Linked DNA regions of Daphnia pulex. The main gene of each other region encodes a partner of the protein of the gene in region 2 in a complex. Links are inferred from orthologs where the notes say so. Each region holds a gene or a part of one and is shown on either strand. Other genes may lie near its edges. The genes, in order: Golgi resident protein GCP60-like and phosphatidylinositol 4-kinase beta-like.

Region 1 (4,145 bases), on a different chromosome or scaffold from region 2:
AAATTATTTTGATTCACAAGGTACTGGAGTAACCTGCTATTCGCTTCATCCTGGAGTTGTTCAGGTATCAAAAAATATTTTTTTAAATGTGTCACGACAGCATTTTATCTGTTAAGTGACACCCGACGCCTCCCGACGTGACTCACAGTTCGTTGGAGTTCAATTACGGAATTCCGCAGGAAATTGAAACTGCTACTCTTTATTATTAATTAGACGGAGCTTGGTAGGCATCTGCGTGTGACAACCAATCGTTTGGTGGATGACATGTTCCATTGGTTTGGACAATACTTTTTTAAAACACCCGAAATGGGTGCGCAAACGACTATATATTGTGCAACCGAGCCTTCCCTTTCCAGTCGGACCGGCCTTTATTACAGGTAACACCTTATATTGTTAGTACAATCGATTAGTTTATCAAAGATAACACATTTCCCCCGTTAATTCTAGTGACTGTGCGGAAGAGAGACCAGCAAGACAAGCCGAAAACAAAGAGGCGGCACGTCGCTTGTGGGAAATCAGTGAGAAATTGGTGAATTTCAGCTACGGCTCTTCTAATTAAATGTCGCATCATGTCATGACACTGAATAAATGAAATTTAAAGAAAATATTGCTTTTTTTTAATTTGGGTTTAAAGTCCAGTTATGCAATGGTTAGAAGACCTACAACTTGGGTTCTTCCTGGAAACCTTATCAATAGAGGCCAAAAAATCAACTAGAGAATGTCTTTCTCCCTTTTGTATGCCACAACTTATAAAAATACCGAAGAAGCAGGTATTAGACTAAAAAATATTTGTTTATCCAAAGCATGAAAATTAGGTCAGTCAGAAGTACAACTGGAGAGATGAGTGCATCTGTACATGGTAAACCGATCGCTGAACAAAAAGAACTTTGGGTGTTTTGTTTTTGGTATGGTAACTTAAAGAAACGTGTTAAAGATAAAATTTAAGTTAGCGTGAATACATGAAGATGATGTAATACTGCATATCAAGTCCGGTGATCTAAAACAGAATCAGACCAAAAATATGTTGCGGAAAAAAAACCGATCAGCTATTATAGTCGCACATTACTTTCACGTCAAGATCGATTTACTGTAAACAACATAGCTATTGAAGTTGTATATGAACAGACAAAGATGGCAGAGGAAAATTTGTGTCAAAAACATCGGAATCGTTCAACGAGTATAATAAACTCTGTAGTATAAAGTTTTAGATCGCCAGAGACTGTAAGAGTTATCAAATTTCAAAAGATAAACTCCTTGACCAGGATATGTGTGGCTGCCAGCGTATACTTCTTCTTGACAATCACGCCGATACACCGGAATGACGATTGAGATCGGAGGCCTGTTTGAGTCAATAAGAGCTGAATGGCTTGAGTTGTTGCCTCCTTGCTCCACATCGTCTTCTATAACTTGATATTACATGATATTAATCACAAGTCGTTAAAATAAATATTTGTTCAAGCAAAATTACCATTTTCGTCATCGTCGTCATCTTCATCTTCGCTGTCCGAAATATGAACAGACACTTGTTCAGTAGGTGATTTTGTCCATTCAAAAAACAATCCAAATCCAATATCATAATTATCAGTTGCAAATTCCCAAAACAAACAAGACCCATCTTCGTGAGTTGGAACTCGAACCTGAAGCGAATCACATTTAGTTAAATAAATGAAATAGCTATATATATTTTGCATAAAATGTATATAGCGCTTGAAGTCTAACGAACCGTGACAGTTTCGCCGTGTCCAACTTTGATAATAGAATCCTTTCCTTCTTTGTAGACTGAATCTTTGAATTCCCGTATATCTTTACGTGTCCACATAGAAGCAGCTACGATATCGGCAGCAAGCTCTACACAAAAAAAAAATCAATAATTGGATGGCAGTCCTTTTGAAAGGAATTTTATGAATAAAAACATACCTTCTTCATCATTACCACTAGCTTCAGAAAAATTGTCAGGTTCTAGTGGGATGTTCTGAATACTTGCTAAAGCATTTAGTGCTGCAGCTTCAACATCCAGTGGTAACTCTTGAGAAAACTCACTGTCTTCAGCCTTGGTAATGTTCTGTGATAGGATTTGCTGCTGATATATCTGCTGCATGTACTGAATGTAATGTTGCTCTTGTAACTGCCGGATCAAAATAGCTTGTTGATCTGGATTTTCTGGATACTGCTGCTCGGCATAAGTTTTGAACTGGTCATAGGTTTGTAAATTCAGAGCTTCTTTGATTTGCTTTCGTTTTTCTTCCTGTTCTTTCATTTGAATTTCTCTTTTAGCATCTTCTTCGGCTTCTATTTTCAATCTCTCTACTTCTTTAAGTTGAAATTCTAAATCTTCTTTCTCTTTTTCAGCTTTCATTTCAATTTCTTTTTTGTGAGCCTCAACACATGCATGGAACAAAGGGCAAGCTGAATTAAGAATTTCAACAAAACTTAGCATAGCACTTTCTCTGCCTATGTCTCCAAGCTTCTGCCAAGCGATTTTTCGATCTTTTCCTATAACATCAAGTACACCCACATTTCCGTGGAGATCAGGGTTGAATGGGCCATTAGAAACTTGTTGGGTAAATGCCAGAAGCTTACATTTCTGATCATAGCCTAAATGAAAAGCTTTTCCTTCTTTATCTGTTGATAAAAATGAAGATACAAAACCATGAGAACAGATGCACATACAAGGTTTAAACAGATAAAACATATATTACCCTTTAAGAATTTAATCCCTAGTTTGTACAAGGTCTCTAAATCACAACCCCATTTCTCAAGAAATTCTGAGCTGGTCACTGGGCAAGGCTTCTCCATTATAGTAATACAAGAACTTGTTCTTAAGCAATCCTCAATTGTGCCTTGCTGGCAATAAAATAAAGTAATTCTGTCTGCACTCAGGGAGGAAACGTCACAAAAAAATTACTGAAAAAAAAATAACAATATTCTGTGCGACGTCGCCAGTTCGACTTTACCAAACGATCAAGAGTTCCAGCGCCCGCCCAGCGGCATGCCAGCGGTTCGCCGGTTCCATATTTTGAATTTATGAGTTCTTTTTAGTCGCTCAACTCGCGTTCTTTTCTACTATAATGCAATACACTTATTGAAACGTAATGAAAATCTTGACTCAGAGAAATTTAACTTTAGTTAAGTTTATTATATTTTTGTACAAGAAACGAAGATGCGGTGGTTTCTAAACAGTACAAATACGAAACGTACCGATTTCATTTGAAACAACACATAAAAATCTGCTGACTACAATCATCCGATCATATTATATCACGCTCAATCCAATTTTCGAACACAAATACCACATTAACCAACGTCAAATGAAAGCAATTAAACATCAGACCACTAAGGGCACTTCCGACCACATCCACAATAAAAGGTCAAGGACACTCGCATAACAGGAATATGCAAGAAAAAAAACAACGACGGATTCATTTCTCATACTGGAGAATACCACGAAGATATTCTTTAACAGCATCTATTACAAGAAATAAACCGCGCGACTTTTCAATATTAGCAAAAAAAATTTACACGTTCAATTTCCTGTAGAGTAACAAGTACGGCATCCTCGGCAAATTATATTTAAAGGGTTGAGTCTCCACAACACGCACAATGCTATCGTCAAAACGAAGCCAACTTCCAGTCCCACTGTGATGCACTTCAGTTACATAATGTCCTTTGGTCGCTTCCTTTCCATCGTGATAAACAACTGTAAGAAAATGAGACGTTAGAATGAATGTTTCTACAACTAAGCTAACTTGCTTATCACAATTCACAGAACTTATTAACACAACGCATGAAAATACATAAAAATCAGACACAAACACTGACCTGCAAATAACTTGTACTGTCGCTGTTTTTCTTTGAGTTTACTTTTCTGGCTTGGTGACAGGAAGTCTTGACATGAAAATATAAAATTGAAATATATGTATATATAAAACACTTTATATTCTGAATACCTTTACTCAATTCCAAATCGGAAGAGAAGTCCACTCTCTTCATCAGCTTTTGACATCCACCAGATTTGTCATACACGAAACACTTTAAGTGTAAGATTAAAATAGGGGGCAGTTCTTCAAGAGTAGTCTGTCGAGAAGCCTCCACCTCTTGACCAGTCTTCGGACAAATATAACCGGTCAACGGTTCTTTGCTTACCA
Region 2 (4,577 bases):
CATTCATTCTTGTACGTCCTTGTAAAATATCTATGCCCATAGAACTGAACGTACTATACTACTAGGGAACCATCGACCAAGGTCTTTGACAGCATTCTCTTCCACCCTTCTACATGTGTTGACTCTTAGCTGTGGCTTTACACACATGAATTGGTAGCCATTTCTTCTTTTAAAAAAGAAGGTGGGAAATATATGAAGAGAGTAAAAATGGCGTCAAAATACCTTTGTTGATATCACAGCAGTCGTTGTATTATTACTCCGTGAGTCGCCCATTACTTATTTAGCAGCAGTCGACATGTTGTTTGACATCTGTCATTTTGGCTTCGTATTTTCTTCTTTTTTCGCAAGGTGATGAGCAGAGGGTTTAAAAGAGTCGCTGGGCGTAGTAGCTGCCAACCCCCACCGGCTTGAAGCTCAAACCCCACCCTTGGAAGAACAGATCGATACTCGGCTGACGAGAAAAAAATAAACTTTGGTGAGCTCAAAGTGCTGGATCAGAGTTTTCCCAAAATGGCCAGAAAATGGCAGAATATAATATCTCTTTTTTTTGTTAATAATAAAAGCGACACACACACTGAGGAGGAAATAGAAAACGCCTAGCCACCACACACTCGAGTTAAAGAAACAAAACTCTTGTTGCTAGCTCGAAGGAGGGAAAGCCGTCACTTGGTCCAATCAAAAACATAAAAACACACAGACAACGAGCAGGAAAAACGTTTTGGAAATCACACAGGGAAATGTGTCGAAAGTTGATTGGAATTCCAATGCCCAAGCCACGCCGAAACACACAAAAAATCTTTACACACACACACACACACACACGAGAAAAGGAAATACAACACGAAATGACAGCCAACAACCCAACAACTAGCGTAGAGTTGACGGTGCGGCCAGAGACTGACGGTGGAAAGCAGAACGGCCGTGGAAATAGTCGAGGCTAAAAAGCAGCTCGCCCAATAAGAGGGTGGAGCACGTGGTTCACTTTTCAGCCACCAGAGGCGCCACTTTAGACGACCCAAAAGTGGGTTATTTCGACAAGTTTTTAACCCACGATTTTAGCCCTCGTATTCTTTTGAAAATTCCACCATGTCAACGTCACTCACCCACGCAATGCGTTAAAAAATATATACAACAACATCGAAATGATTCAAAGCGGTTTTAAGCTTGACATTTGAAAAGATGCATGAATCACGATTCGGTTTTACAAGCTGACGTCATTTAAACTGATTGAATATTCGTATTATAAATCTCAATGCCACCTTTGCAAAAATTGAGTTGCCCAACCGCTTCTGGCCAAATGCGAAACGATTACTCGACAGAATGGCGAACAATTCCGCCCTCTTACCATGACGTAAGAGAACCTTTTCTAACCGAACGGACGGAAACATTTTTATTCGAGACTTTTAAAAAAACTGGAAGACTCTGGGGTTGACTCAACAAGTTGTGTACAGCTGCTCAGAGATCACAAGCCTCGGTGATATTAGTATAATCTCGGGGTCTTGATAAGATGACGGCATTTCTCGTTATAAACGCAAAGCAAAAAGGGCCTCCAGCATCCTGTCAGTTTCTCTCATCTTCAACCAACATATTGTGTGTCCAAGCTGCTGGTTTTCAGATGAAAATCACTTCTGAAGAAATTTGGATTCTCATACACCCACGAGAGATGACTCACAGACAGCGGCCCCTCCGCATTCCAACGAAACAATCAGCTTGTAGAAATCTAGACCAAGGTTTGACCACACACACACACACATAATGAAATGGTCAACAACCGAAATTGTTGTAGAAAAAAGAATGGGCAATGTATCAATTAAAGTCAAAACTTTGGTCGGAATTGGGTTATGTGTGTACCGACTCGAGAGAAAAACCGCGCCATATAACCCACACGTTGGCTTATATTATCTCTCAAACACTCTCACTTGTAGTAGCAGTACTATAGCTGCTGATTCTCTCAAGCTATTTTCGGACCCTTGATGTAGCCCTAACAGACTCTTGTCAAGTCCCGAAGGACCTTCACGTCACACGCATGAGAAGATCCGACGTCGGAAAAAAGTCCTCACAAACATCCGTTTTTCATGGAAATCCGAAGGCCAGTAAAAAAGTAGAGAGAGTCTCTAATAACGATCAAACTCATTGACCTTTTCAAGTTAGAGACAGACACACACACTCTAGGGCCTTCTCAATGTGCGGAAGCAATTCAAAAGGGGCGTGGTTAATTCATGTTATCTTTTCGATTCGGCAAGCTCTCGTGTTTCAAGTGTTGGTCTCGCTTTCTATTCCTCCAGAAATTTTTACCAATCCAGCTCCAGACGATATTGTTTTCACTCAACTCGAAAAGATTAAGACATGAATTGACCATTAAGGGGGGGTGGCTGGTTGAAAAATAATGACGCGCGGAGACAATGTCGACCGCCATGGCAGTTGAGACAGTCAAGTAAAATAACACACAAGAGAAAAAAGAAACAACAACAAAAGAGGCCAGTCAATAAGTCTTAATGGGTTAAAATACAAAACCCAACGGCGGAACTTTCTAGTCGAATAATGGAAGGAAACGGCTAGTGCATGTGTACTTGAAAAGAGTATTCACTCCACTAAAAGAAGGAACTCGGCAACTTATTTTTTGATTGTCGTTTTCTTTTTTGTGACCAATTCTATAATCGATGATGTTTGACCATCATTGCGAAAAAGCTGTTCAATTAAGTTTTTTTCTACTTGAAAATATTCGTGAATCTTTATGCTTTGTTGTGGGGGACAATTAGATTAGGCCCCCATTACTGACACATACCGTCACATATTGTGCAAAGGGCTGTTGTCGCTATGCACCTTAACAGTTCAACTAAAGAATACTTTTGAATTCACTTACAGTGGAATTGGGTCTCGATTGATTGGGCGCCGAACGCCATTGTTTTCCTATGGATGTCAAACAATCAGATACAAGTTTTCTTCTTATTTCTTGCACGATTTTGCTTCACAGTTTAGAGAATTGAGACCACCAAAGAATCTTGCCTCTCACATCTCCCGATCAAAAAGAAAACACATGACGCCACCTAACGGTTAGTTTATTGACCACGTCGTCACACGATTTCTTCTGCTAGTAATTCTTCACGTGTTTGTTGTGTTTGTGTGAAGTTTAAAATTACTTCGGATGTAAATGTTCTCAACTCTTCAAATTAAGCTGTTTTTCCAGTAGAATTTGATTCGTATTAGTTGAAAACAAATTACACAACAAAAAATGTTACGGCAGTGTCTCCGATTGAAGAACATTCAGTTTTTACTAAAAAGTACTGCTAATAGAAATGGGGCAGATTTTGTTGAGCATAGGATTCTAGTTTCTAATGTAAGAAGAAATCATTCTGTTGTTCCTATAAACAAATCAGGGAGTGATGTCTTAGATGACAGCACAGAATTAATCCCATTTCAAGAAAAGAATAATCCATTATTGGAAGATCCTAATTTTGATGGAGTTGTACCTATTGTGGCCCCCAGTTTCAACTTAGCGTCTTTAGTAAACAAGTCAGAACTTCTTCAGACGTTTGTTAAACTTGGCGTATCTATTCATGATTGGGAAAAAAAGGGAAACATACACTCTTGGATAGTGAAGCTCGATTTCAAGAAAGATGTGCAACCCATCATCCAATTTCTGGTAGATCAAGGTGTTTCACCAGAATCTCTAGGAACTATTTTCACTAAAAGTCCATTGCTTTTAAAGACAAGTATTGAAGAGCTTGAAATTAGAACTAAATATTTACAATCAAAAAAGTTTACTTCAGAAATGATTGTTAGAATCTTTTCCAGAAATCCATTCTGGCTACTATTCAGGTACATAATTTCAAAGGTATCTTAACATTTTTAAAAGAGTTGTTAATCTTGTATTTTTAGCACTCAACGAATAGATACTAGACTTGGATTTGTACAACAGACATTCGATTTAACCGGTAATGAACTGAGAGCTTTGGCGTCAAGAGAGCCTCGGCTTATCACAAGTAACATTCAACAAATTAAGGTATACAAGTTTTTTTTTTTTTTAAATATGATCAACAATCTAACAAGCTCTTAACTTTCAGTTGATGAATTTTGGGTTCAAAGAAGAAATGGGATTTGAGCATCAGCAAATTAAACAAATGCTTCTGACAAAGCCAAAATTGTGGTTGATGAGTATGAGTATCTCTTTCATTTCGTGTAAATACTTCAAAAAATTCAAGATTTCAATTATTTTCAGACAAACCAATGCTGTTGGACAGGTTTGACTATCTTCACAATGTAGTTAAGATGGATCATGAAACCATGCTACAATTCCCTGGAGTACTGACCAGTCGAAGTTTCCGGGTTAAACAGCGCCACGGATTTTTGTGTTATTTGAACCGTGCTCAATACGATCCTAAATTGCCAAACTATGTTAGTCCACTAAAATTAATAAGTGATTCGGATTCGAACTTTGCTGTTCACGTTGCTAAAGCTTCCGTTCAAGAATTCAATGATTTCTGTAAAACTGTGTGATGTTATCGTTTTAATAATAATAATAGCGACCTAAAAATGATTTGACTAGGACTTATTTTTATTGCAAACCTATTTAAACA

What was found.
Region 1: the proteins of phosphatidylinositol 4-kinase beta-like (region 2) and Golgi resident protein GCP60-like are in contact, whole or in part, in an NMR structure (PDB 2N73), measured with the Homo sapiens proteins. The link is inferred for Daphnia pulex from reciprocal best matches to the Homo sapiens genes PI4KB and ACBD3. Residues at the interface, in NP_001317650.1 of Homo sapiens: Val37, Gly38, Val42, Ile43, Asp44, Pro45, Val47, Ala48, Gln49, Lys50, Ala51, Cys52, Glu54, Val55, Leu56, Val59, Lys60, His63; in NP_073572.2 of Homo sapiens: Gln245, Ile246, Ala249, Leu250, Gln253, Thr254, Gln257, Phe258, Tyr261, Gln265, Tyr266, Leu276, Leu280, Gln283, His284, Gln287, Tyr288, Gln291, Leu292, Val295.

Annotation. Positions count from the first base shown.
Region 1 is NC_060022.1:4,601,154-4,605,298, forward strand, and holds Golgi resident protein GCP60-like, read right to left. Parts: upstream 2,926-4,145; 5' UTR 2,797-2,925; coding exon 2,700-2,796; intron 2,623-2,699; coding exon 1,918-2,622; intron 1,849-1,917; coding exon 1,724-1,848; intron 1,638-1,723; coding exon 1,469-1,637; intron 1,407-1,468; coding exon 1,171-1,406; 3' UTR 774-1,170; downstream 1-773. Other genes in the region: retinol dehydrogenase 11-like, read left to right, coding at 21-64, 214-377, 448-559; ubiquitin carboxyl-terminal hydrolase 10-like, read right to left, coding at 3,516-3,697, 3,820-3,885, 3,948-4,145. UniProt on the Homo sapiens protein: Involved in the maintenance of Golgi structure by interacting with giantin, affecting protein transport between the endoplasmic reticulum and Golgi. Involved in hormone-induced steroid biosynthesis in testicular Leydig cells.
Region 2 is NC_060021.1:592,619-597,195, reverse strand, and holds the start of phosphatidylinositol 4-kinase beta-like, read right to left. Parts: upstream 3,064-4,577; 5' UTR 2,864-3,063; intron 1,672-2,863; exon of another isoform or gene 223-1,671; intron 1-222. Other genes in the region: transcription termination factor 3, mitochondrial-like, read left to right, coding at 3,233-3,819, 3,880-4,003, 4,065-4,155, 4,220-4,497. UniProt on the Homo sapiens protein: Phosphorylates phosphatidylinositol (PI) in the first committed step in the production of the second messenger inositol-1,4,5,-trisphosphate (PIP). May regulate Golgi disintegration/reorganization during mitosis, possibly via its phosphorylation.